Linked DNA regions of Daphnia pulex. The protein of the gene in region 3 purifies or fractionates together with the protein of the main gene of each other region. This does not show direct contact. Links are inferred from orthologs where the notes say so. Each region holds a gene or a part of one and is shown on either strand. Other genes may lie near its edges.

Evidence for each region.
Region 1: the proteins of ruvB-like helicase 1 (region 3) and MRG/MORF4L-binding protein-like purify together in Homo sapiens (co-immunoprecipitation; 6 studies listed by BioGRID and IntAct, counting the BioPlex papers as one, with this or other methods). This does not show direct contact. The link is inferred for Daphnia pulex from reciprocal best matches to the Homo sapiens genes RUVBL1 and MRGBP.
Region 2: the proteins of ruvB-like helicase 1 (region 3) and protein SHQ1 homolog purify together in Homo sapiens (affinity purification with mass spectrometry; 3 studies listed by BioGRID and IntAct, counting the BioPlex papers as one, with this or other methods). This does not show direct contact. The link is inferred for Daphnia pulex from reciprocal best matches to the Homo sapiens genes RUVBL1 and SHQ1.
Region 4: the proteins of ruvB-like helicase 1 (region 3) and armadillo segment polarity protein-like purify together in Homo sapiens (affinity purification with mass spectrometry; 6 studies listed by BioGRID and IntAct, with this or other methods). This does not show direct contact. The link is inferred for Daphnia pulex from reciprocal best matches to the Homo sapiens genes RUVBL1 and CTNNB1.
Region 5: the proteins of ruvB-like helicase 1 (region 3) and NOP protein chaperone 1-like purify together in Homo sapiens (affinity purification with mass spectrometry; 4 studies listed by BioGRID and IntAct, counting the BioPlex papers as one, with this or other methods). This does not show direct contact. The link is inferred for Daphnia pulex from reciprocal best matches to the Homo sapiens genes RUVBL1 and NOPCHAP1.
Region 6: the proteins of ruvB-like helicase 1 (region 3) and H/ACA ribonucleoprotein complex subunit 4-like purify together in Homo sapiens (affinity purification with mass spectrometry; 4 studies listed by BioGRID and IntAct, counting the BioPlex papers as one, with this or other methods). This does not show direct contact. The link is inferred for Daphnia pulex from reciprocal best matches to the Homo sapiens genes RUVBL1 and DKC1.
Region 7: the proteins of ruvB-like helicase 1 (region 3) and 116 kDa U5 small nuclear ribonucleoprotein component-like purify together in Homo sapiens (affinity purification with mass spectrometry; 4 studies listed by BioGRID and IntAct, with this or other methods). This does not show direct contact. The link is inferred for Daphnia pulex from reciprocal best matches to the Homo sapiens genes RUVBL1 and EFTUD2.

What each region holds. Positions count from the first base shown.
Region 1 is NC_060018.1:12,249,322-12,252,232, reverse strand, and holds MRG/MORF4L-binding protein-like, read left to right. Parts: upstream 1-1,438; 5' UTR 1,439-1,584; coding exon 1,585-1,705; intron 1,706-1,804; coding exon 1,805-1,926; intron 1,927-1,991; coding exon 1,992-2,252; 3' UTR 2,253-2,411; downstream 2,412-2,911. Other genes in the region: tRNA dimethylallyltransferase-like, read left to right, coding at 1-322.
Region 2 is NC_060022.1:3,500,960-3,504,644, forward strand, and holds protein SHQ1 homolog, read left to right. Parts: upstream 1-1,480; 5' UTR 1,481-1,547; coding exon 1,548-2,417; intron 2,418-2,486; coding exon 2,487-2,771; intron 2,772-2,833; coding exon 2,834-3,088; 3' UTR 3,089-3,185; downstream 3,186-3,685. Other genes in the region: dipeptidase 1-like, read left to right, coding at 1-60, 133-202, 277-453, 511-671, 730-865, 939-1,037. UniProt on the Homo sapiens protein: Required for the quantitative accumulation of H/ACA ribonucleoproteins (RNPs), including telomerase, probably through the stabilization of DKC1, from the time of its synthesis until its association with NOP10, NHP2, and NAF1 at the nascent H/ACA RNA.
Region 3 is NC_060023.1:12,188,576-12,192,697, reverse strand, and holds ruvB-like helicase 1, read left to right. Parts: upstream 1-1,444; 5' UTR 1,445-1,576; coding exon 1,577-1,717; intron 1,718-1,786; coding exon 1,787-1,915; intron 1,916-1,976; coding exon 1,977-2,151; intron 2,152-2,214; coding exon 2,215-2,586; intron 2,587-2,647; coding exon 2,648-2,751; intron 2,752-2,812; coding exon 2,813-3,102; intron 3,103-3,166; coding exon 3,167-3,326; 3' UTR 3,327-3,622; downstream 3,623-4,122. Other genes in the region: longitudinals lacking protein, isoforms A/B/D/L-like, read left to right, coding at 3,964-4,122. UniProt on the Homo sapiens protein: Possesses single-stranded DNA-stimulated ATPase and ATP-dependent DNA helicase (3' to 5') activity; hexamerization is thought to be critical for ATP hydrolysis and adjacent subunits in the ring-like structure contribute to the ATPase activity.
Region 4 is NC_060020.1:4,722,842-4,726,983, forward strand, and holds the start of armadillo segment polarity protein-like, read right to left. Parts: upstream 2,801-4,142; 5' UTR 2,644-2,800; intron 2,457-2,643; 5' UTR 2,419-2,456; coding exon 2,385-2,418; intron 2,319-2,384; coding exon 2,179-2,318; intron 2,117-2,178; coding exon 1,996-2,116; intron 1,932-1,995; coding exon 1,744-1,931; intron 1,684-1,743; coding exon 1,525-1,683; intron 1,440-1,524; coding exon 1,285-1,439; intron 1,199-1,284; coding exon 897-1,198; intron 837-896; coding exon 688-836; intron 604-687; coding exon 394-603; intron 331-393; coding exon 198-330; intron 137-197; coding exon 15-136; intron 1-14. Other genes in the region: cysteine desulfurase, mitochondrial-like, read right to left, coding at 3,874-3,937, 4,050-4,142. UniProt on the Homo sapiens protein: Key downstream component of the canonical Wnt signaling pathway.
Region 5 is NC_060024.1:614,494-617,460, forward strand, and holds NOP protein chaperone 1-like, read right to left. Parts: upstream 1,555-2,967; 5' UTR 1,275-1,554; coding exon 1,184-1,274; intron 1,107-1,183; coding exon 1,018-1,106; intron 934-1,017; coding exon 802-933; exon of another isoform or gene 734-801; coding exon 542-733; downstream 1-541. Other genes in the region: ankyrin repeat and SOCS box protein 13-like, read left to right, coding at 1-95, 158-209, 275-545; eukaryotic translation initiation factor 3 subunit D-like, read left to right, coding at 2,362-2,383, 2,826-2,870, 2,926-2,967. UniProt on the Homo sapiens protein: Client-loading PAQosome/R2TP complex cofactor that selects NOP58 to promote box C/D small nucleolar ribonucleoprotein (snoRNP) assembly. Acts as a bridge between NOP58 and the R2TP complex via RUVBL1:RUVBL2.
Region 6 is NC_060025.1:6,908,890-6,912,901, reverse strand, and holds the start of H/ACA ribonucleoprotein complex subunit 4-like, read left to right. Parts: upstream 1-1,212; 5' UTR 1,213-1,288; coding exon 1,289-1,301; intron 1,302-1,497; coding exon 1,498-1,637; intron 1,638-1,907; coding exon 1,908-2,124; intron 2,125-2,180; coding exon 2,181-2,296; intron 2,297-2,490; coding exon 2,491-2,740; intron 2,741-2,800; coding exon 2,801-2,961; intron 2,962-3,025; coding exon 3,026-3,265; intron 3,266-3,331; coding exon 3,332-3,435; intron 3,436-3,495; coding exon 3,496-3,640; intron 3,641-3,699; coding exon 3,700-3,837; intron 3,838-3,903; coding exon of another isoform or gene 3,904-3,906; exon of another isoform or gene 3,907-4,009; coding exon 4,010-4,012. Other genes in the region: eukaryotic translation initiation factor 4E type 2-like, read right to left, coding at 1-68, 134-338, 405-457, 585-660, 725-753.
Region 7 is NC_060028.1:8,367,506-8,371,780, forward strand, and holds the start of 116 kDa U5 small nuclear ribonucleoprotein component-like, read left to right. Parts: upstream 1-1,475; 5' UTR 1,476-1,695; coding exon 1,696-2,016; intron 2,017-2,084; coding exon 2,085-2,409; intron 2,410-2,481; coding exon 2,482-2,606; intron 2,607-2,677; coding exon 2,678-2,925; intron 2,926-2,988; coding exon 2,989-3,151; intron 3,152-3,222; coding exon 3,223-3,358; intron 3,359-3,430; coding exon 3,431-4,108; intron 4,109-4,178; coding exon 4,179-4,275. UniProt on the Homo sapiens protein: Required for pre-mRNA splicing as component of the spliceosome, including pre-catalytic, catalytic and post-catalytic spliceosomal complexes. Component of the U5 snRNP and the U4/U6-U5 tri-snRNP complex, a building block of the spliceosome.

The DNA.
Region 1 (2,911 bases), on a different chromosome or scaffold from region 3:
GACGCGGGAAGAGCAAACGTCCTTTCACTGCCCGCTCTGCGAAAAGGTGACGGTCGGCCAGCGCCAGTGGCAAGAACACCTCGGCAGTAACCGACACCGCAAACTGGTCAAACGGGCGGCGACCAACGGAGACGGCCTCGACCAGCAGTCCAAACCTAGACGACGCCAACCAAGGAGCGCCAAGACGGACCGAGCTGACGAAGACGAAACAAACGCGGGCGGATCGCAGGAGGCGGCTTTGACATCCGCTCAGGCTGCCCAGGAGGAACAGCAGCAGCAGCCACAACTACCATCACTACAAATAGATCAGCAGACCTCTTAAACAACCAACGTTAGCGCGCCCAGCCTGCCCGGCAGACTTTGAAAAACAACACAAAAAATTCCCGTCTCTTTCCCTCTAGATCTTTTCTTCTCTTTCCGGAAAAGTCCTTAAATGATCCGGCGTCGTTTAATGATCCGCTTCCCTTTCATTCTTTTTTCTCTTCTCCAGGGCAGCCCGGCGTGTTGTGTGATATTTCTCCCGTTTGCCGGCCAATGTTTCGCACAATAAAACCAAAATTTGTAGAAGGAAAAAGCTGAAACTGAATGATAGTCAATTTGTCTGTGTGTGTGTTTTGTAAATTCTTTGGCTGAGCTGGGAAATGTTTGGGGGCTAAACGGCAATACACAAAAGTTTAGTACTAGACAATGAAGAGAGATGGAAGCGATTTCTATGGGTTTTTTATTTTGCTTTCTTTTCACCGTTGAAATAAACGCTGGCTGGTTTTCTACGCCTCAATGGAGTCGGCCGGCCTGCACGGCAGTTATATCATGTAATAACAGTTGTTTGGAGAGGAAAAAAATTGACCAATAGCTCTTTTTGTGTTCACCAGCATTTATTCCGTGTGGGAGGAGGAAATGGCTGTTTTGTGTCGGGACTCTTTTCCGCTTATTTTATTTTGATTTTACAGGGCGGATATTTCGTTTGCATTTACACACACACCAACGCCAAAAAACTCTCCTCCGTATTATTTTATTTCTTTTCCTTCCCATTTTCTGCTTACGCTTCGTGATCGTGATGATTCAACTGGTTGTGACCTTGGGAAATGGACACGGGAAATGGGAAAAGTATTTCGTCGGAATGTTTCGCCCAGGACATTCTAAGAACCGTGCCTGATTTATCATTCGACAATCTTGGTGTTGTTCAGATAACGATTAACTAACGTCGCTGGATTAAATAAAACAGGATGTTTGTTTTGTTTTGTTTTCTCTCCATTTTGGCTGACTGAATTAATTTCTGTCGGGTCAATTATGAAACATTTATACAACAACAGTTTTTTTAATTAAATTGTGAAAAAGAAAAAAAACAAAAACAAACTGACTAGCAGTTGAATAGTTGAATCACAGATGGCGTGTCTGCTAGCATAGCAGACGCACCTAATCCTACCAAAACCAAATCACAGATGGCGTTGCGGAGTGTGTGTGTGTAGTATTTTCACTTGTCAGAAGGGAGCCGGTTGTTATTTTCGTTTTCCTCAACCACTAGTCGAACGTCGGAGAAATCTCCATTCAATATCAACGTACTCAGTTAAAATCGATTGAAATATGGCCGTTAAAGAAAAAACTGAAGGAAACGAAGAGACTTTGGAGGCTGCAGAAGTGGAATGGGGTACCGTCGATAACGAATTGCAGCTGTTACAAATTCTGTGTGGCACCAGACCCATAGGTAATAAGATAAACGTTTGAAAATGACGACGATTTTCTACACTTGTTTCACAGCAGGTTTAATTTGTGTTAAATATTTAAAACATTTTCTTTTTTACAGGAATTAGTAAATACTTTCAAATGGCCTGCATCGTAGAAAAACTGGCAATGAATCTGAACAAAGAAGTCACTTCCAAAGGTGTTTGGGATCACCTGGCGAGCTTGTACGATCTCAAGAAACTGGTTTGTTCACTGTCATTAATATTCACTGTATTGTTTTGTATTAAAGTGTTTGTTTCTTTCTCTAGGATGAGCACGAGACGATTCCTTTCCCCAACGAAGAAATGGACTTTGTCCTTTCCACTGAGGAGTATGGCGAATTGATGGATAGCAAATTCAAGGATGCTGAATCCAAGAAAGTGATAAAGAAGGAAAAGGAAGAAGTTAAGAAGGAAAAAGTTCCTGAAACACCCCAGCCAATTGAAAAGAAAGCTGTGAAAAGAACAAGAGCCAGCACTGCCCCAAGCCCTGGAACACCGCAAATCACTCCAAAACGTCGACGAATTTGAAAACAAGAAGATGAATGACTTTTTTTTTTTTTACCATGTCAACTTTTTCGGCACTCGTACATTATTGATTGCGAAACCGTTTAATGAAATTTTGTAACTCGGGTATTGTGTTAAAAAAAAAATTTCGGCCGGACTAAAAAATGACCGCCCACTTCAAAATCATGCGTTTGAATTTTTATTCGTTAGAAAAACCTTTCCATCTTCAGTTTAATTACCTCACTTATTTTAGAGAGTTAAAAAAAAGTTGTCGATACGATTTCCTGTTTCTCAAGTGTATGAAAATTATAATAATTAAAAATGAATTCGACGTGACCACATTTCGAAAGAGTTGTTGGAAGAGGCATCGGAAGGAAGAGAATGCACCGGTTTTGTAGTGCGTTTCATTGCCACTTGAAAGCGCCCCAGTGCAGCACTGCGAGCAACTGTTTGTTCTGTTCTTCGGTTTTTTACAGAGCCCTCGCCGACGATGTGCTGGGATTTGCAACGTGTATTTTCATTCGTATAAAAAATTGATTGAAGAATTTATCTAAGTCGGGTAAGAACAACATTGATCAATAGTAGGTTTCTCTATCGATTCCAAAACGAAGCCAAAGTTGAGATAATTTAAGGATGAATCACCATTACATTTTCGGCCATGTGATGTCGCCCTATGAGTGTGT
Region 2 (3,685 bases), on a different chromosome or scaffold from region 3:
CACTTTCTATCGACTCGGAGTTCGTTACATGACTCTCACCCATTCGTGTCCGACTCCATGGTATACACATCTAATTCTTTAACTGTCATTTATTTGATCAATTATAATTTTTTTTTTAAATTATTCTTTAAGGGCTGACAATTCACAGCTGGATAACCCGGGTCAGGAACCTATTCACGACGGGCTTACCGGTTTTGGAGAAGTATATTCCTTATTTTTTAAATTGCTGTTATTCTTGATTTTTAGACAAGTTTTTGTCCGTTTAAATTTATTAAGGCAATAGTCCAAGAGATGAATCGTCTGGGCATGATGGTGGACATTTCTCATGTGTCGGTCTCGACAATGGAAGACGTATTGAACGTGTCAAAGGCGCCCGTGATTTTCAGTCACTCGGGGGCATTTTCTGTTTGCAACAATACTCGAAACGTGCCCGATCATATCCTTCGTCGATTGGTTAGTCCTACCATCAATTTTCTTTAGTCATAATTCATATAGCTTTCTGTGCTACAGGCGAAAAATGACGGAATTATCATGGTGGTATTTTACAACGAATTTATCGCCTGCGGTCAGTCGGCAAGCCTCAACGATGTGGTGCGCCACATCGAACACATTCGTAATGTTATCGGGGCAGATTACATCGGACTCGGTGGTGACTTTAACGGAGTTGACAGGTAAATTATTTATTAACAATACAAATGAGCAGGGAAAATAAGCGGTTAATATTTGAAGGGTTCCCACTGACTTGGATGATGTTTCAAAGTATCCCAACCTCTTCGCGGAATTGTTACGTCGCGGTTGGAGCGAAACAGATTTAGAAAAATTGGCTGGTAGAAATATGCTGCGCGTGATGCGTCGTGTTGAGCAGGTACAGTACTTTGTTATTTATATCACGCCACGCCTTCTTTTCAAATTAATTGTTATCAAAATGCTGATATAAGGTTAAAATGGAACTCTCATCCATGGAGCCGATTGAAGAATGGATTCCGGCCGAAGACCTCCGACCTGAGCACAAGCAATGTCTCACCGAGTACAGTTAATTTCTCATCGTTAGATTTCTTCACGGTTGATTCATCAGCAGGTTCTAAGAATTTGAACCGCGCAATTTAAATTTGTATTCTCCTCCACGCGCGCCATAGCAATCGTTTAAAATTACCCTCGCTTGATTCCGTACCAAATTCTATTATGATTGTCAATCGAAAAGAGAAACTTGCGTTTGCTTCACGCTCAGTCATCACGTCAGTTTGAATTGAATTGCTAGACTGAATTATTTGATTTCAAAGAAGATAGTATCAGGTTTGTGCAAAAATGTCTAGACTGCCAAATAAATAGCGCTTTATACATTGATAATTTCTTTTTACTGCATTAACATTTATGTAGTTAAAATTTCACGGTTAAATGTCTCTAGCGTAAATGTCGAGATATTTCTTTTTTCAAAAATCTTTTCGCGGTTTCCTAGTGTTCGTTCAATAGGTTCTCGGTAGATGAGGTTAAAGTCGCTTATTTACATGTGCTCTTTTCTTCAGTCGTCTTCTCTTGAAAATTGAAAAATGATTACACCACGTTTCAAGCTCAGCCAAGATGAAAATTGCCTATTTGTCACGATTCACGCACCCTTTTCCAAGGTATCAGACGCAGAAATTTACATGGATGGTACTGATTTTCGCTTTCATTCAAATCCCTATTACATTCGCCTTAACTTGCCGGGAGAAATAATTGAAAACGACGAGGCTAAAGCTAATTTTGATGCTGAAACAAATGAATTCAAAATCACGTGTCCAAAAGTAATAAAAGGAACACATTTCCAAGGACTGGATATGCTTACGAGTCTTCTGGCACCCAAAGGAAAAAGAAGTGTCGACAGCAAGGGAATTGAAGTGCTTGAAGAAACCTGCTCAGAAGAGGACTCGGAATCAGATTTTGATTGGTTCTTGGAGCAAAAAATTGAAGAAGAATCATCAGATTTACCAGCTAATGTTTCGAAATATGGTTTTGGCTTGAAACATTCCGGACTCTTTGCTACATTGGCTGAGGAACTGCATCAGGTTGTGGATGTCAAAAATCCTGACAACCAGTCAGCCTCAGAAAGAAGAATAGAAAGATTGGAACAAGAGAAGAGAGAATTTAATGCAGAACACTACTTGGCTGATTTTTTCCAGACTGACATGATCGATCCTCTAATTGAATACCTACCTTCAAGCAGGATTGGGGAGGAGTGGACAGAGGCAGAAACTATCCTCTTAAAAACCCTCACCAACAAAGAATACCTCCTGGATCATGATCAACTACAGTCCACATATTTGGGTTTGGTTGATATTTTGCTGGCATATTGCTACGATATGAGAACCACCATGTCCGACCCCAACGTCGAATCAGCATGGACCATAGCAAAAATTAGTGGAACTTTATCTTGGCTTGAGGTATTTTTCTTTTTCTTTGTTTATTCTCTTTCGAAATTACGCTTAATCGACTATTTGATAAAAATTTAGATTTTCACTTCGATTCGCCAAGTTGTAGATTGCTTTCTTCGTAGAAGTCTGTGTTTTCCCTTATTTCGAAACTTCAAATTGTCCATTAAAGCCATTGAAGACGCCTCAAATATTCTTAAAGAAGGGCGGACGTCAGTCTTGAGGTGTTTCTTACAAATTCATCAGCTGTTCAACAAAAGTGATCCTCGATACCTTCTTAATCAACTGTACATTCGAGACTATTGTATCTGGATACAAAAGTGTAATGACGAGACACTCGCCTCGCTAAGCCAAAGTTTAAAATCGGTAATGATTGTAATTTATGGAATACCAAATTTGTCCTGCTAATTAAATTGTCATAATTTTAGATGGAATTTACCAAAGAAGATGTTACGTTAAACCTTGTTGATCTTGAGCGGGCCGCAGTTAACCTGATGTGCTATAGTGACGACTCGTCAGAAGAATCGGACCTCGAAGAACAAATGGCCCATCTGTCACTCAAAAAGAAATCCGCTTCGAGCGCAATGCCGATTGATCTTCAGGTTGCAGCGGAAGCCGCTCGAATGAGCTCGGAATCTGATTTGGATTCTGATGATGATTCTTCATCCGAAGAAAGTGACTGATTAAAGATTCCCTTCCAATTTCTTGACTTGATGAAAAGTGTATGCACAGATAATGGAACTTCACCATAAGAGGAATACAGTTGAAACTTTTGGTATACTCCTTTTTATCATTCGAATAAAAATGTTGGCACAAGGAAGAGGAACAACATCGATCCTCCGAGTTTAAAAGGCTATTCCTTGAGCCTTAGATTTCTTTTTTCTTTATTTTTATTAAAAGCTAGACAGAACTTCTAAGAGTGTTATCGCTGCGGGCCTGGTAGAGGAATGGAAGCCGGAACTAAGACTAGCCAGTAAAATGCTTTCACATTTATGTCAGCGCCGCCTTTTTATAAAGCCCATATCAGAATTATAGTCTTTACTCTTTAGTGTCTGTAGAAATTGATAGTAAATGTTTTTTTTTTTCGTTTTTCCTGTTCTTATTTCTTAATAACAAACGAAAATGAGGACGCGTACATATTAAACACGGACATTGGATTATTTACATTTAAATTGGCTATAGATAACACTTAGCAAGATTAAATAAAACAACCTGCATAAGTTTGAACGAGAACGACTAAACAATTGTAAAAAGCAAAGTTTTTGCGTCTTTTTTATTTA
Region 3 (4,122 bases):
GTGAAGTGTCATATTGTCGTGGTTTCATATCCAACGGGTTTCAGTAGCTAGTACGAGCACTTGAAGGTACTGCTGTATGCCGTTAGCCTCTCTTGAGGCCCTTGACTCATCCTTTTTTGGTTCAAAGAGAAGTAAGTATAAGTAAGAAGAGATAAGTACAAAAGTGAAAGTGTTAACAAACTTGCAAGATATATGGGCTTGACTTTCTCCCACCGCCGTTTGCAATGAGGGATCATTCAGCCAGGTTTCCGCCAACTCATCCAATCATTCAAATTCCACAAAAGGCGTCAAAGATCATTCTCGTTCTTAATCGGAAGGCATTTTGAAGTACTAATTAATAAAGAATTATTGTTAAAAAAACCGATAAGAATGTGATGTATCATTTTAAAATAAAAATATACCTTGTAACGGGTTCTGTATGTCAAATCGAGCTCAGTATTTAATCCATTTCGAAACGAAAAGGTGTTTTGGTAGTAGTTTCATCTCCATTTTTGTTTTATATGACCTTCTGGAGCGAGGAGAGTTTAGTTAGCAAATAATCGCATGCGAATGCACCAGATAATGTTTTAATGAGAATCAGTTTGAGAAAATTGAGGGCACATTCACGTTCGAGTGCTCGCGCTCAGCAGTGAAACAGCGAGCTTTCTAATATTTACTGATAACGAGTTTGAAAACAACGGTTTCCATTATTCTTTCTCCAATGTGCCGAAAATACCAGACAACAAAATAACAACAGCCATGAAATATTCTGTTACTCTGTGTTTAAAAAGACGACAACATTCTAAAAAAGACTACAGCATCAATGCGTGTTATGTGTCAAGTCATCGAACTTGCAGCGTGTCTACTTTGCCGCACCTCTCCTTCGCCTATTCCTGCGTGTGTATGAAAAATGTGTAGGTCATACACGAAATAGATAAACGAAACTATTGTTGGATCTATTCTTTAATTAGTACTTTTAAGTGAAGGCACGTTTGAAGTCTATAATGGGGTTCGTATAGGCTAATTGTTTGTTTGTGTTTGAAATTGAGGAAATAACTGCAGACAAACTTCACGACTTTCGTCACACGCTTGTAACAATTTGACTACTGCGACGGATGTAAAAGATTTTAGCACTTCCCAGTGAAACATGAAATCGAAATGAATCAATGAATAGAAGAAAGAACAAGCTTGTTTGTTTACCAGACGACAGGTGTTTCAGTTTAATTTCGTTTAACGGCTTCGGCAACCACTCAAATCATCTTAGATCTCAGTGAGCAGCCAATCCCCATGGACCCCATCAACCCGATAGCCTGGTTGCCGAATCCTGGTGCTTGATAATTTAAAACTTACAGAATGATTTGCATGTAAATTTTCTTCCATGGTGCTTTTTCTTTTAAAAAAGGGTAAAAAACAAAAAACATTCTGCTTAAAAAAAAATCCTTTTACTACACAGTTGAGTCAAGGTCTACCAGGTGGCGTTTAATCTGGCGGGACTGCCGGTTGTTACCATAGAAACCCTGAAGCAACTTCGTCTCGTGTTCTTCTTAAGGCGTCCACATTTTTTCTGTAAATTTGCAAGTCTTTTATAAATAACAAAATGAAGATTGAAGAAGTTAGAAGCACGGTCAAAACTCAAAGAATTTCGGCTCACAGCCACGTGAAGGGTCTCGGTTTGGATGAATCCGGCAATGCCATAAACATCGCTGCCGGCCTTGTTGGCCAAACGCAAGCCAGAGAGGTAACACACAATTTTTTTCAGTTTTCTAAGAGAAATGTACTCAACAACTGTTTGCTCTACATTTCACAGGCAGCTGGTTTGGTGGTGGATTTGATCAGGTCTAAACGTATGGCTGGAAGGGCTGTGTTGTTTGCCGGGCCACCAGGAACTGGCAAAACTGCCCTCGCCATGGCAATTGCTCAAGATTTAGGCAACAAGGTCAGTCCTGCTTTAACTGTTTACAAGTTGAAGAAATTGAAAATTAAAATTTCATATACAGGTTCCTTTTTGTCCTATGGTGGGCTCAGAAGTCTTCAGCACTGAAATCAAGAAAACTGAAGTTTTAATGGAAAACTTTCGTAGAGCTATTGGCCTTCGTATCAAGGAAACGAAAGAAGTTTATGAAGGAGAAGTCATTGAACTTACCCCAGTTGAAACTGAGAATCCTATGGGAGGTAAAAGTTAACAACTCAGTTGATTTTTATGACAAATTTTACTACCAGTTATTTGTTTTACAGGATATGGCAAAACTGTCAGTCATGTAATCATTGGACTGAAGACGGCTAAAGGAACAAAGCAGCTCAAGTTGGATCCTTCCATCTACGAATCTCTCCAGAAGGAACGTGTTGAAATTGGTGACGTCATTTACATTGAAGCCAATAGCGGAGCGGTTAAACGTCAAGGCCGATCTGATACGTTTGCCACCGAGTTCGATCTCGAAGCCGAAGAATATGTCCCTCTTCCTAAAGGCGATGTTCACAAAAAGAAAGAAATTGTCCAGGACGTCACCCTACACGATTTGGACGTGGCTAATGCCCGCCCACAGGGAGGCCAAGACATTCTTTCCATGATGGGACAGCTAATGAAGCCGAAAAAAACCGAAATCACAGGTAATATTTTCATATACTTCAAAAATGCTTACCAAGATTTAAATTTACATTTTAATTGTAGACAAGCTGAGGAGAGAAATCAACAAGGTAGTCAACAAGTACATTGACCAGGGAATTGCAGAGCTTGTACCCGGCGTGTTATTCATCGACGAAGTTCACATGCTGGTAATAGACCAATAAAAATAAAGATATTCAAAGTTAGTGATTGATTTTAATTGAATTTCAGGACATGGAATGCTTTACCTATCTCCAAAAAGCGCTGGAATCGGCTATCGCCCCCATCGTTATCTTTGCCACTAATCGAGGCATGTGCACAGTCAGGGGTACCGATGATATTGTGGCTCCACATGGTATTCCTCTTGATCTACTCGACAGACTTCTCATTCTTCGGACGATGAAGTACACCGCCGAAGAGATGGTACAAATTATCCGCATTCGTGCCAAAACAGAAGGATTGAGCATTGAAGACGATGCCCTCCAAGCTCTTGGTGAACTTGGCAATCGAACTACTCTGAGGTAAGAACAAAAATTGTAAAGCAAAAAAATGATCTTATTAAACAATCAAATGTTCTTGGTTTAGGTATGCGGTTCAGCTACTTACACCCGGCGCCCTGACAGCTAAAGTTAACGGTCGCTCTTCCATCACCAATGAAGATATAAAAGAAGTCGGAGGTCTGTTTCTCGATGCCAAATCATCAGCCAAGATCCTGACGCAAGACAAAGACAAGTACATGAAATGAGGAATCGAGTCAAATTTGCTGGTCTGTGTGTTTCTTTCCATTTTTCTTAATAAAATTATCCTCCACGAATAACCAATTCAGTTCGTCACGCTACTCCGCTTCCATTTTTCTAAACACATTTCTCATGACCAACATATTTAGCTCTGTGTACCGCTTTTCTATTCGAAACTTGGTGTCGTTGGATAGCTGCTCTCTCAAAAGTTACGGACTTTTAACTTCTTTCATCTAAAAACGGGTGTACAAAATAAAAACAGGAAGCCGTTTTGAACGATTAAAATACATTAAAATGGATCGAGCTTTACTAAAAACATTGATTGAATTCTGAACAGGGGAAAAATTTCACCTCGGATATTTTGATTTGACAACGACGCCGCGCCAAATAGCAGACGAAAAATACTTGTTAGAGATGGCGTCTTTCAATCTTTGTGAATTTTTATACACAACACACCTGCTGGATTGTTAACTCACTGGATCATAAGCTGGTTCGAATTACTGGTCTCAGAATTTCGCCAACGCCATAAATTGGTCTTCTCATAGGGGTGAATTGTTGTTGTTATCTCACGAAGGCTTTGGTGAAAAATACCAAGGGTCTGGTTGTGCATTTCCGAATTAAAACAGGTGGACGTGTGTGCCTGCGATGATGGGCCAGCACGACATTCAAGAGTTTTGTCTCAAATGGAACAATCATCACAGTACTCTGGTATCCGTCCTCGACTCTTTGCTCGTGAGAGAAAGTCTGGTAGATGTAGTCCTGGCTGCTGAAGGTCAATCCATAAAAGTACACAGATTAGTTCTT
Region 4 (4,142 bases), on a different chromosome or scaffold from region 3:
TAAAACAAACGTACTCGTTGGATGTCTTGGAAAGCACGGATCAACAGCTGCACCAAACGAGTAATAACTCCTTGTTCTCGCAGCGGAGCGTGGTTAGCAGGGCATAAAGCCAGATTACGAACCAACCCGATCAGAGCTAAACAAAAATGGTAATTATGAGACATTTTAAAAGACAAACTTGCTATAATGATACATACCCTTGATGAGTGGCCAACGAGAGGGGGGTTGCAATAAACGGACAATGACGGGCAGTCCACCACTAAGACGAACAGCATTTTGAGCCATTTCAGCTTCAGCGTGACGTGATGTCATGTGACGCAGAGCACATATCTGTAATTAATGGATTTTGTAAGAACCAACACGTTTGTCATTTTAAAAAGATGGATATATTACGGCAGGTTCGGTGATTTCTTCACGATCGCCAGCATGAATAATGGTGCGAACCAGCGCTTCGATACCACCGACTTGACACACAACAGTCTTGTTGCGTTGGTTGTTGCAAGTCAAGTTAGAGAGAATTCCGGCAGCGCAAGTGATTACGTTAACATCACTAGAACCTAACAACTGAACAAGTCCTTGAAGCAGGGTTTCTAAACCTTCTTGCTGTAAGAGAAAAATAAAGGTATAAGCATTGTCCTTAAGATAGGAGCAGAACATAAAATAATTTTTCTTTTAGAAGATAATCACCTGCTTGGTCGCAGCATCGGAAAGATTGCGGCAGGTCCATAAACAGTTCTGAACTAGGCGATGACTTTGGTGGCCCAAGTGCATTGCCAACGCTTGCATACCTCCAGCTTCAACAATAGCTGGTTTGTTGCTAGAACAGACCGACAGCACTGGGAAAAAAATTTATAAATAAATCACGTACATTAAACATTACGGTTTTTATAAATTACCTTTCAAAACTCGTGAAGTGGTCCACAGCAGCTTTTCGTAAGTATATGACCGAAGAATTCGAACAAGTTCCATCGGCCCCTGTGAAGCTAAAATGATCAACTTGGATTCTTGATTGCCATACGCCAGAATTTGAAGACAATCAGTAACGATTGCCAAGAATTTGACATTGTTGCGCTGAAGGAGAGCAACCATCTTCTGTAAACCACCCGCCAAACGAACGGCCATTTTTGAGCCTTCTTGATGGAGCAGCAAGTTGTGCAGCGTCGTGATAGCATAAAAAAGAACGGATTCCACGGGCGAGCTTTTCGAGATGACAAAAAATAAAAATAAGTAACGTTTGAAGAAAGCCGTCAGTTCGGACACATGAAGGATGAGACGGGACAATACCTCAACAGCTTCACCAAAGCTGGAATTCCCCCAGATTTAAAAATAGCCAACAATCCTTGGCGGTGATGTGATAGGTTGTGCAGGGTACCAACGGCACCTTTGGTTGTTTCCAGGTCATTGCTATTGGACAGTGCTCGAACGAGAGCCGCAATCATCTACGATCAAACGGATATGCATTATGAACTTGGAAAATAATTTTAAAAGAAGTGTAACACAGAGTAATAATAAAATCATAGAAACTTTGGTTGCCTGTGGGCTATTCATGATAGCATGGCGGGACGCTTCCTTCTTGGACAACTGGTGAACCATCATGGCAGCATGAGATACGACAACTTGATCTTCATCGTTCAACAACTTGATCAGTTCGGGAATAGCTCTTGTAGCTAGATCAGCATCATCCTACCAACCCAAATATTATTACTTTAAGCAGTTCAAAATTTTGAATTTCAGCAATAATACCTGATAGTTGATCAAATTAACAACGGCATGTTTCAACATTTGCGACGGTTCGGCTAAACGCTGAACAGCAGTTGGCTGTGTGGTATCAAACTGAGTAGATGGAATTTCCATTCCTTCATCCAGTGTCTCTGGAAACATGGCAGCACGAATACGCTGGGAGCGAGTCTGGTTTAACTGAGCATTCATGTCTGTAACAAAGTATTTGATTAAAACATATACCGCAATAAGAATCAAAAATATTTTATTGTTTACCTTCAACTTGGTCTTGAGTATAACCAGCTGAATAGCCACTTGATCCACCCATGTTAAGCATGACTCCTCCTTCAGAAGTATCCATATCATCATCACCACCTCTTCCAGAGAGTGATGGGGCCTAAGAAGTAAACATTTAGTTCGAAAGGTTACCTTCACTCGCACAATTCACTCAATATTTACCTGAGTGGTTGCCCCACTTTGGATTCCTGAATCTCCTACATATCCAGGTTGCCCAACTCCTTGCCACATCAATGTATGTTCCTTAACGCTGGGCATAGGAAGATCAGCAGGGCTATTGCTAACATATTGCCCATGTGACACTATACATACAAATTAAAGAGTTATAATAGATTTAATGAAAAATTTTAATTTAAAAAAGCTCATACTTGGCCTCCCTTGTGCCTGCATCTGATAACTCATGATGCGGCTGTGTATCGACGACTTTGCGACGAGATAACCTTAAATAAAGAAACGAGGGTAAGAACCAGGGCTAACAAAGTGTCGCAACTATGATGAAGTAAACTGCGTGTTTGACTGTCACTTGAGATTTCGACACAGTAAAAAGCCATTCAAAAGTCGAGAAAATTGTTGTTTGCTTTCGAAAAACATTTTAAGTGTAATTTTAAACAATTTAAGGTCACATACCTTTGGAATTTCGATTTGGTGACAAGAGATTAACAGAGCCACACCTGCCACAATCAGAAAACAAGGACCTGCTTCGTTCTGAAGTACTGACGCGTCTAAAAAGCCCTTAAAGATGGCGGCCATCAGCTTGAAACGGAACTATTTTTTTGGCGTTTTCTGTTTTTCTATGGTAAACCAATAAAACCAAAAACATTTAAATATAGCTTGAAATTACGTATTTAATGTGTTTTATTCCAAAACAAAAAAAAATAATAAAACAAATATTTGTGGGAAAGTCCAATAATATTTTAGAATATTTTTTAAAATTTCTAGCGTAGGAATACATAGCTAGTTTCCCCTGCCCGTTTGTCCAGACGGAAAGAGTGGGAGGGGAATAAAAAAAAGTTTCAAGTTCGGAATGACTCACAAATACCATTGAACAAATGATAAAAAAAAGTGCATTGCTTCTCAAGCAGGTTTTTAACCTCTTCCTTTTTTAATTACCTAGATACAGCTATGTAATAAATAGGTTGGCATTTCAGGGGTAGGGAGCCGTGGATTGCTGTCGATTGGCTAAAGAATAAATCGCCGCAATATGAAATTTCGGTTTTTGTACTTTTTTCCCGATATGCAGCAATGAAAAAAACAAAAGTTCGCTTGCTCGCTTAAGATTACATTAACTTCTTCACCTTTTCCAAACTTTAAATGAAATTCATGTAATGACTTCAAGTATAATGTCAAGTAAAAGTGCCCCATAAATCACATACAAAGAGTGTGAAAGGAATCAAAAGTCTTCGTTACCATGCACACCTGCTTTTTTGTGTGCTAGGAACGACTTCAAACTTTTTTAACCCAAAGAGCTTCGACGGAAACTTAGTCGTTTGGCATTGTCAAAAATATCAACTCGTTTATTGAACAAAAAACGGACATATTAAGGCTGTCAAATTTCTCTGCAGGATGTGCCGTTTTTTTTTTTTTTTAATCTATTCTAGATCTAGTCCTTCGATACTTTATATTGACTTATTATTGCACCGCAATGGTACCGATAGCTAATAAATTTCCCGGCTCATTTTACTGTTAAAGAGTCCAAAGTAACTTGTAACTTTACGATACCATTTTCTGCAACAATCGTCTTAAAAGATATTAAAGGTTATTGGTCAACACTATTTTCAGTGTATATTTCCAAATCATTTTCTTTACAAGGCTGAATTTATACAGCAACATTTTCAGTTTTGTTTTTGAATGGAAAGATTAGTGCTGCGTCCATTTGATACTTTTCAAATCAATCCCTTCTTGGACCATTTCCCAAAGAGGACTAAAAGTGGAGAAAAAACATAATTAACATTTTTAGCAGAAATGAAGGAAGTTATTTGTCGGGGAATTCCAGACCCGGGTTACGGTTCGACTTCTTCGAATTCGGTATTTACCTCATTTCCCGAAGTTTGGTGACTTGATGAATACACTTTTGTGCGGTGTAATCAACCTCAGCTTCGGTGGTGAATCGCCCAATTCCAAATCGA
Region 5 (2,967 bases), on a different chromosome or scaffold from region 3:
GAATGCTGCAGATCGACACTATGGAACACCTCTTCATGCAGCATGTGTTGCTTACAAAATTAATTTAGACTGTATTTTGTCATTGATACAAGCAGGTGATTTAACCATTAATGAGCAATTAATTGTTTGTTTCTAGAAAATCTTGCTTTTCTGTTAGGTGCTGATGTCAATGCCACAATAGTACATAAGGCTCCTCTTCATATTGCTGCGTAAGTTCATTAAGGTTCGTATCTATGACTAAAACAAAATTAACGTAATTTTTGTGCCAAGGCAGATATCGTAACCTGTTTTCGGTGGTGCAGTTGCTGCTGAATTATGGTGCTGATGTATACATGAGAGACAACTTGGGAAAACGTCCTAAAGAGTTGGCTAAACCCAATTCAGCTGTTAAAAGGCTATTGCATGATTATGAAATCAATCCCAGAACTCTTAGTGATTGCTGTCGGTTAGCAATTCTTCAGTCTTTTGTTGTAGGGAAAAATTCAATGGTCATTAAACAATTAGGACTTCCGAAGAAGATTATACAATTTATTTTCAGTTGTTAGACATCAAGAACAATTTCACTTTTCTGCTCTACATAATCCTTCTCTATAACTTCAACTAAATTTGATTTAACACTAGATCCTGGAAATTTGATATTGTTTTCATCAATGGGGCCATGATTTGTTTCTGTGCCTAAATTTGTTGAGGGGACTGAACAGTCTGAGTCTGTGTCTTCATAGAGGGCTACATCCTATTGGGAAAGCAATTAAGAGTTTAACCTTTTGTATAGATTCAGCATTAATTTATGTGAATACAAACCATTTCTATTACTGGTCCACTCGCCCCATCTATATTTTGTATATCATAGATGGTTTTTTTATTCGGATCACTCAAAATTTCTTCTTGAACTTTGACATTTGCTTTCATTATTTGAGGTAGAAATTCTTTAACCTAAAGTACACAATTTTCTCAAGCTTAAGGAAACTCTTGGTCTTATTAAATTAATTCTGATCTAAAATCTGTTTCTATGTTTACCCTCTGCAAAGACAGAGATGGCTGGATTTTAAAAGTTCCATTAGAACGCTTTTTTTCTTGTAGAAGAGAGAAAACAAGATTTTCTTTTGCTGCAAACAGATAAAGAAGTAAATTTTAATACATATGTTTACCTAACATAAAAACTAATTAACTTGGGAAAACGTACTTTTAACTTTCGAACCTTCTACATCGAGCAGTGCTGTGGAATGCCGAGTGGACTTTAAAAGACCATCTTGTGAACCTAAATCAGATGTCATTTTTCCGTAGTTAGAATCAGAACCTTCGAAGACGAGTGGCTTTTGTCAATAATCAATTAATTTTGTGGAAAAATCCAATGAAATCCGCCTAGCACGTGTCCAAATTTTGTAAGGCGTAAACACAATTAATTATCGATTATTGTAAACCATCGATATCTACGAAAAAAAATGATAGGCCTAGGCCTACTAAAAACTAATGAAGAATTATGTTAGTAATTTGCTGAACCCGCTGAACCATTTGTTTATACAATCGGTTTGCACGATAAAAAATAGTTTCGAATAGAAGGAGATGACTGAGATTTTAATTTTAATTTTATTCGTAGTGTGTGTAGTTTCCCGATAGGGATTTATCGGCAAACGACCCTGTCTCCTCCCACCCACCACCCCACCCCACCCGACCCCACTCTACCCACCTCCTACTCCGACTGTGCGACGACGTCTCTTTCTTCTACGGCTCGATAGCTGTTTTCGGGGTTTTTTACTCGATTTCTCTCTGGGAGGTGGCGCTGTTCCTCTCGGAGAGATAGGGAAACGATTTTCGTTTGGGGGGTTCCATTGTTCTTTTATGCGATTTGCGGGGGTTTTCGTCACGGTATTCAAATTGCGACCGTCTTGTAGAGGGGATGCTTTTACATTGCAACGTCGTGATCCCGCTTTGATTGAGATAATGGGGTCGTTGTGATTTAAATGTAAAAAATAATCGCTTATTTTTAGTTAGTTTTTCTCCCGACAGGTGGTTCTGACGCCAATCCATAATTCAAGGCCGTCGAACTTCAACGCGGCCTTGGATTGGATTCAAAAACAAAACAAAAACAAAACAAGGCTGGCTGCTAATCAATCAAATCAACTGAATCAAGGCAAGTTTAAAGCAAAATGTAGTCAAATTTTAAATAATGTAGGTAGTATAATCCTTTGATTGTAAATTATTTTCCCTACTACGTAAAGCTGGTACAATAGCCGTACGGTTTTTTATATACCGTAAAGCATTCATTCATCATGGAGTCCAGGTATAAATAATTAAATTCTGTTGGTCTCTTATTGAAATAAAATTGTCCTTACTTAACGAAATTCAACTTTGGATATATCAATGGATGATTTACGATGTGATGGTAGAACAATGCTGGATTATCACCCTATAATTCTTGAAACTACATTAGTTTCCAATGCCAGTGGATCGGCAAGGCTGAGACTTGCAAACTCATCAACATCTGGAAAATGAAATTTGCAAATTCCTACAAAGATCCTATGCTTCAGGTGATACTTAATTAATTTATGTCAACTTTCTTTATTGACACGACAGCAATGTTGGGTCATGTATGTTGACATATTGATATAGCTGATGTGATATTTCCACCAATCAACAATTTCTCATGAAACATTTTAATGGTATTAAAAAAGATCATGAATCAATGTGGAGGGAACCCTTATGATGCAGTGTCATTGGCTGAGAAATCGGCCCTTTATGCAACACAAATTCCATCTATTAAAAAAGCAACCATGGACGGATGTCAACATGAACTGGAGCTCTCAGATGATCCTTATGATACCAAGAGACTAAACACAGAGAACATTCCTTGTGTACTGACTTTGATGAAGGTTTGTAGGTTAAAACTTTGAATTTGAAATAAATAGTCTAATACTAAGTTTTCAGGAGGTGGTGTCCTGGTGGCACGTTGCGAACATGACGCTGTCA
Region 6 (4,012 bases), on a different chromosome or scaffold from region 3:
CAACAACGTGAGGCTAAACCTTTTCGAAGACGCACAATCCATTTACCACCACAACGATTGGCATCATCCTGTTGGGAAAAAAAAGTAGGTTAATAAACACTTCACCACCCTTATTATTATTTAATAATACAACCTCCCACATTGGTTTGATTCCATCTTTAAATAAATGAAAGTCACTGTGACCAGAGAGTTCACAAGGCCTGACCAGATGGCAATAGTATGACCAAAACTGTTCTACAGAAGCAAAACGTCCAACCATTCTTAGATTCTGATCAAAGCTTTGGGGTGCTGCATGTTTTCCAGGAGCTCTCCGACTAAACCACAAACAGTATGTGTATCTAAAAACAAATGGTATTTCTATAATTAACATGTACTAATAAAAGTAATATCATTTTCATGTGTACTGGAGTGGATGTTCTTCTCGAGGAACTTGAATGGGTTGCTGAAAAAAATTAACCTTTAAATTAGTAGGAAAAAATGGGTAAGTGAGCACATAAATTCGTCTATCGCAATTATCACATCATTAACATAGAGTTAATAGATATTACAATAATTTTTTGTGTATTATGCAGTTAATATCTCACCAAAATTAAATCCTTTTTCTTTCTTTCTTCACTGAATGAAGTTTCGTCGTCATCACTGTCTTCGCTGTTGTTCAACCTGTCGAAAAGCAACAAAGTAAACGCAAATTCTATTAAAACATGTATAAAATTTGAAAACTTACGCATCAAATTTATTGTTATTAAGGGCCATTTGTAAATAGTTTACGAAATCGGAGTGTTACAGTCAAATTGTTCACTTAATTTATACACCAATTTGCAGCATGTAGTAGAAAGACTAAAGAAAGAAACAAGCAGTATGTCCAGAAATGTTGTACAAATTTTAGATGGTGAAAACACTAAACAGTACCCACACTATAGAGTAGCGAAAAATTGCCACCAGTTGCCACCAGGTGACCTTCAAGAGGTTTTGGCGCCACACACTAGAGTACCCTTCCCAAAGCCAAAGCGCCACGGCCCACGGGAGAAAGATGTTATAGTTATTGTAACTTCTAATGTAATGGTAATAAAGAGATAATTTGAACCATTGAATTTTAAAATCAAGTAAAATATTGGAAATACATGTCATAGCAGAAAAAGTGACTTCGTGATTAATTTTTTTCCAAAAATAAGAATCAAAAATCAAATGGCAACGCTCAACACTTCCGCTCATTGGTTTCTTTTTTTGTAGCAGAGGTTTTTCAACACATTAGATCAAAGACAGGACTTCGAACCACGTGTGAAGCACGATGCATTCATCTGGTAAGCGCCATCACATAATATAAATTTTACAAGCTAGTTATAGGGATCGATTATGTGTTTTCACATGGAAAAGATGCATTGTAGTTTGCTGCACAAATAGTATGATTCGAAATTTACATTAATTTGGTTAATTCTGTGATCTACGGATTAATGTTGGTAACACGTGTCGGTTAATGTTAGCATTCCTGTGTTTCAGAAGTCCTAGGAGAGAAACAAAGTGGAAAGAAGTCAAGAAAGTCCTTGGGAGATATTCAAGGAGATTCAGACTTTGTGTTGGAGCCATCAGAAAAACCAGTAGCAAAATTGGACTGTTCACAATGGCCGCTGTTACTAAAGGTATGTTGTTAAATATTAAATTAAATGTAGATGTTCTCAAAATAATTTATTTTAGTATCTATCTATACAAGCATTATGCTAAGAATGCTAATGATTAATTTATCGAAAGTAGTGGACTGAAAAGACTGAAGACACTCAAAGATAATGAAGCATTTAAAACTAAATTCTTAAAATTTTTCTAGTTTGAAACTTGATCTTTATAGATATTAATTTTTCCCTTGTTATTTATTAAGAAATGTGAACATTTTCTAAATCATCTTTTTTTTTCAGAATTTTGACAAGTTAAACACAAGGACAAATCATTATACACCTCTTCCAAGTGGTTGTTCACCATTGAAGAGGCCAATTAAAGATTATATTCATGGCGGTTTTATTAATCTTGACAAGCCATCTAACCCAAGCTCTCACGAAGTAGTTGCCTGGATTAAGAGGATTCTAAGATGTGAAAAGACGGGTCATTCAGGAACATTGGACCCTAAAGTTACAGGTATGTTGATAGCACTCAGAAAATCCCATGGACTTTACTAATTGAATATTATACAGGGTGTTTGATTGTTTGCATTGATCGTGCTACAAGGCTGGTCAAATCTCAGCAGGGAGCTGGCAAAGAGTATGTTGCCATATTTAAGCTTCATTCTGCAGTTGAAGATAACAATCAGGTAGTTTCTTGACCCTTCTAGTTGAAAGCCTTATGCTAAAGATGCTAATGATTAATTTATCGAAAGTAGTGGACTGAAATGACTGAAGATAATTAAAGATAATGAAGCATTTAACTGAATTCTGTTAATTTTTTAAGTTAGAAACTTGATCTTTATAAATACTAATTTTGTATATATTTTTTTTATTTATTAAGATTCCTCGAGCTCTTGAGAAGTTGACTGGAGCTTTGTTTCAGCGTCCACCACTGATCTCGGCTGTTAAGCGACAACTTCGTGTGCGAACCATTTACGAGAGTAAATTTTACGAGTACGATGCCGAGAGACAAATGGGTATCTATTGGGTTAGCTGTGAAGCCGGAACTTACGTTCGTACCCACTGTGTCCATCTCGGTTTGGTGCTAGGCGTAGGAGCTCAGATGGCGGAACTCAGAAGAGTTCGTTCTGGTAAGCCAGGAAGTTTCTTTTTGTGTGTGTTCTTAAGATGAAGATTTTATTTTTTATAAGGTATCCAAAGTGAAAAAGAAGGGTTAATGACTATGCACGATGTAATCGATGCGCAGTGGTTACATGATAATCATAAGGACGAAACATATCTGCGGCGGGTTATTCGTCCATTAGAGGCATTGATGATGTCTCACAAGCGAATAATCATGAAAGACAGTGCTGTAAGTGTGTTAATATTTATCTATAATATTCTTTATAATAATGTGTTAAAAAAATATATAACAGGTTAATGCCGTTTGCTATGGAGCTAAAATCATGTTGCCTGGTGTATTGCGGTACGAAAATGGTATCGAACTAAATGAAGAGATTGTTATAGTAACAACCAAAGGAGAAGCAGTGGCTCTCGCCATTGCTTTGATGACGACAACAACCATGGCTTCATGTGACCATGGTATTGTTGCCAAAATTAAACGTGTTGTCATGGAGCGTGACACTTATCCCAGGAAATGGGGACTTGGACCTAAAGTAAAAATTGATATAGTTTACATTGGCGTTACTTGTATGTATATGTATGTATTTGTTTAATTTTAGGCTTCCGTCAAGAAGGGTATGGTGAAACAGGGACTCTTGGATAAGTTTGGCAAACCTAATGACAAGACACCTAAAGATTGGTTGACATCTTATGTAGACCTAAAGTATGTAATTCAACGCAGTATTTGTATCAAATTTTTCAATAATATTATATTTTTCTGTAGCGTTAAAAAAGAAAAGGTTGAACCAACTGAAGATGCTGAGGCACGAAAAAGAAAGTTAAGTGAAACGAGCGCCGTTGCTGATCCGTTGTCAGAATCCATGACGGAAACCAAGGAGAAGAAGAAGAAGAAAAAGGACAAAGACCGGGTAAGTGTTTATACTCTTGTGAAATAATGATGTCTTAATCATTTATGGATGATTTTCAGGAGCCGCAGGGTAATGAAAGCATTCTTGATGCCACCGTAGAATCGGTTCCTGAAACCAAAGAGAAGAAAAAGAAGAAGAAAGATAAAACAGCTGAAAATGAAGACCTTTCAATTGCAGTGGACACATCAACAATCAAGGTAAATTAAACTTGTCAATTAATTTTTTTTTTAAACAAAGGTGTCGTGATTATTTAATGAAAGTAGTGAACGGAATATTTCTGACGAAAATTACCTAAATGAAAACATACTGCAAATATTATTCGCCGAGTAATTTGGTATGCATTAGTAATGTGAACATATTTCTATTTAGGAG
Region 7 (4,275 bases), on a different chromosome or scaffold from region 3:
GTTGTTGTTGTTGTTTGTTCCATCACCAATCGGCCAATGTCTAAACGTTTTCTTTTTGTCTTTTTTTCGCGTCTAGCCAAAATGAATCCCGACCGATGTCTGAGTTGCCGAATTTTATAATTGGGGTGGAGATTGTTGGCTCGACCAATGTCGAGGTCTAATAACATTCCGTCATCACCACGAGACTTGATTAACAATCAATCATTTCGTAAGTCTAATGTGTCCAGGAGTCCAGTGAACTACAATCGCTTCATCCATGTCGAAGGGTATTGTGTAGTAATGAATGCCGTCCAATAATCATTGCGATCCATTAAGCCTTGACTCCCGACAGACTACACCGCCGTGGCAATGCACACCGGACAGTATAGTGACCCCCCCGCAGACACAAAAAAGATGATGGATAGAAATTTAAAAAGAGAAAAACAAAACAAACCAAAAAAAAAAAAAATCTCAGTCAGAGTCTGTCGGGCTATTGATTGGACACCCCCACGGAAAATTCACGCACGAGGAATAAGGAGGAGGAAGTCGATTGCTGCTGTTGGCCAAGTCTAAATGTGTGCAGCGACATTCAACCGGGTACATTCTATCCGCCTACACAATGGATGACATTGCTGCAAACAACAAAAACAGAACAAGCAACTCGAAGCATCGCCGATAACGGTGATTATATCCCGAATAAAAAAAAAAAAAAGAACCATCAACCGAGAACCCATGGACAGAAGGAGAACTCTAGTTGGGCTGGGCTGGGCTGGTCTACATCACCGAATGGCCGGCATTGATTTTGTCGATCTGCCCATATCATCCCAAGTATTTTTTGGGTTTTTTTTTTGTGATTTCCTTTTGGCAACAACAAACCAACAAGCGAATATATAAATCGGGGTCGCTCGTCTGTAGACTCGTCTGCAGATAAAGACGTCTAATATATCTTTCCATACGAGTCGGCAGCAATAAATCATATAAGGGCACTTGCCCATCCAGGGGGCTTCCATCGCCCGGCAAAACTGAAATTCTGCACTGTGTGCGTAGACATCAGACGACTGCTGAGATTTATTCCGTTATTCAATTCAAAAACATGACGGCATTTTACTCCTTATTTCGCCCGCTTTGATTGATATTATCGCCCGTGTTCGACTGACTTTGTTTCTCCTACAAAATGTTTTTTTCCGTCGTGGACCCGACCTGATAGCGACTGACACGTCATCTATATAAATTCACAACTAGATTTCAGTTTCCAGTGCACAAGCAAAAAAACAGCGCCAGAAACATTTCCTTATTCGGGTAGGGAAAACCCCGCCCTCAACGGGATTCCCATTTGCATTTTATTACGCTGTGAATTTTTTTTTTCTCTTTTATTTTATTTTTATTTATTTATTTTTATTTTTATTTATTTTATTCATTTTATTTTATTTTCATTTTTTTTGCCACTCATAATCCACCTGCTAGCTGGTAGATGGCGCTGTTCTTAAATTCAGATTTCATTGGCACCCGCTAGATGTCGCTAGTGTCGCTCGTTTTGAGCGCGTGCAAATCTGTACGCATAGTAAACGCATTTTCTTGAAAGGCCCGGCTTTTCTGAAATTCCCTTTTGAAACAGCTTTATAACTGTGAGTGTTGGGTTAAGCCGAATACCGATCGACAACATCCAAAGTATCTGCCCAATTTACAGACAGCAAACGACTCAGTTGACTGTCAAGAATGGACGCCGATCTCTACGACGAATTCGGCAATTACATTGGACCCGAACTCGAGTCAGATGAAGACGAAAATGAGGAAGGAGACGAGGCTGATCACGATGACGAAGCCGAAGACTATGGTGACAATGATTCCGAAGAGGCCATGGATCAAACGGTGGTTGATGGCGACGCACAGATGGCCATTGTTTTGCATGAAGACAAAAAATACTATCCATCAGCGTTGGAGGTTTACGGACCTGGTGTGGAGACACTGGTGCAGGAAGAAGATGCTCAGCCCTTGACTGAACCCATCATCGCACCTGTCAAACGAAGGAAGTTTCAGGTACCACAAATTGTTTCGCTGCCATATTTCATTTTGTTGATTAACCTGTTTCCACCCATTTTCATTAGGTTGCTGAGCAAGAACTCCCTGAAACCACGTATAACATGGAGTTTTTGGCTGATCTCATGGACTCTGCAGAACTTATTCGTTCAGTGGCCCTTGTTGGTCATTTGCACCATGGCAAGACTTCCTTCATGGATTGTCTGCTCATGCAAACACACCCAGATCTCCAGACGGGAAAACCTGGCAGTGGAGAGGAGAAGCCTGTCAGATACACAGACACACTCTTTACTGAACAAGAGAGAGGTGTTTCCATCAAAGCGACGCCCATTACCGTGGTCATGCCCGACCTGAACGAAAAATCCTTCCTCCTCAACATGTTCGACACACCTGGTAAATTACAGTTTTCCAACTTGCAAAATGGGGGGGAAAAATGTATTTAATCGATTTTGATGTTTCTTAAAGGTCACGTCAACTTCTCAGATGAAGTCACGGCTGCCCTGAGACTTTGCGATGGTATCGTCCTCTTTGTCGACGCTGTCGAGGGTGTCATGCTCAACACGGAACGAATCTTGAAGCACGCCGTCCAGGTAATTAAAAAAAAAAAAAAACTTCAACTTGGTTATTCCAAGAATTTCTTTTTAACCCTGTCCTTTCATAGGAGAAAATGGCCATCACAGTTTGCATCAACAAAATCGATCGACTCATTTTGGAGCTCAAGCTGCCACCTCAGGACGCATATTACAAGTTGCGCTACATCATTGAAGAGATCAACGGTCTTTTGGGCCTGTACAGCGACGAAGAGAATCCAAAATTCGTGTCGCCCTTGTTGGGCAACGTCTGCTTTGCTTCTGCCCAGTTCTCCGTTTGCTTCACCCTTAAATCCTTCGCCAAACTTTACAGTGACACGTACGCACACGTCCACAATGGCAATGACGGTCTTAAATGAAACTTCATTTTCTTTCATTTTAGATACGGATCCGATATCAACGACAACGAGTTAGCACGTCGTCTGTGGGGTGACATTTACTTCAACAGCAAGACGAGAAAGTTCACCAAAAAGCCGCCACATAGCTCGGCTCAGCGAAGTTTCATCGAGTTCATTTTAGAGCCGTTGTACAAAATCTTTGCCCAGGCATGTACCAAGGACAACTTTGCAGTTAATTTGAACAGTTGATTCATTTCCAATATTTTTTGCTTGTTTAGGTTGTGGGAGATTTGGATTCGAGTCTACCGCAGTTGCTGGACGAACTTGGCATTCGCCTGACTGTCGAGGAACAGCGGTTAAACACTCGCCCCTTGTTGAGACTGGTCTGCAGTCGCTACCTGGGCACTTTCAGCGGTATGTCAATTAAAATGTATGTTGAATTGAAGCAACGGTCTTTAAATGTCAATGTTTGACTGGTGTGTGTAGGTTTCGTGGAAATGTGCGTCAAACACGTCCCGTCGCCCGTAACGGCTGCTCGCACCAAAGTGGAACACATTTACACAGGTCCCCTGGAGTCCATCCTGGGCGAAGACATGGTCAACTGTGATCCCAACGGCCAACTGGTTGTCCATACTACCAAACAGTATCCCACAGAGGACTGCACTGGATTCTATGTCCTGGGTCGTGTCCTGAGTGGGACCCTTCACGCTCACCAGAACGTCCGACTCCTGGGTGAAAACTATTCGCTCAATGACGAAGAAGATTCACGTGTGTTGACGATCGGTCGACTTTGGATATACGAGGCCCGTTACAAGATCGAAGTCAATAGAGTAACGGCAGGCAGTTGGGTCTTGATCGAAGGGATCGATGCCTCAGTGGTCAAGACGTCGACCATCGTCCAGGTTCACGTCGACGAGGACTTGTACATTTGCCGACCCTTGAAATTCAACACGCAATCCATCATCAAAATTGCCGTTGAGCCGGTGAATCCCAGCGAATTGCCCAAGATGTTGGACGGTCTGCGTAAGGTTAACAAATCTTACCCGTTGCTCTCGACGCGAGTGGAGGAGTCGGGCGAGCACGTTATTCTTGGAACAGGCGAACTTTACCTGGACTGTGTCATGCACGATCTCAGGAAAATGTACTCGGAAATCGACATTAAAGGTTTGCCATTCATTTCTTCCCAACTGTTAATTCTTCTAATTTAACTAATTCACTTTGGTTTTTCTTGTAGTTGCTGATCCTGTGGTGTCTTTTTGCGAAACGGTCGTGGAAACGTCCTCACTGAAATGTTTTGCCGAAACTCCAAACAAAAAGAATAAAATCACAAT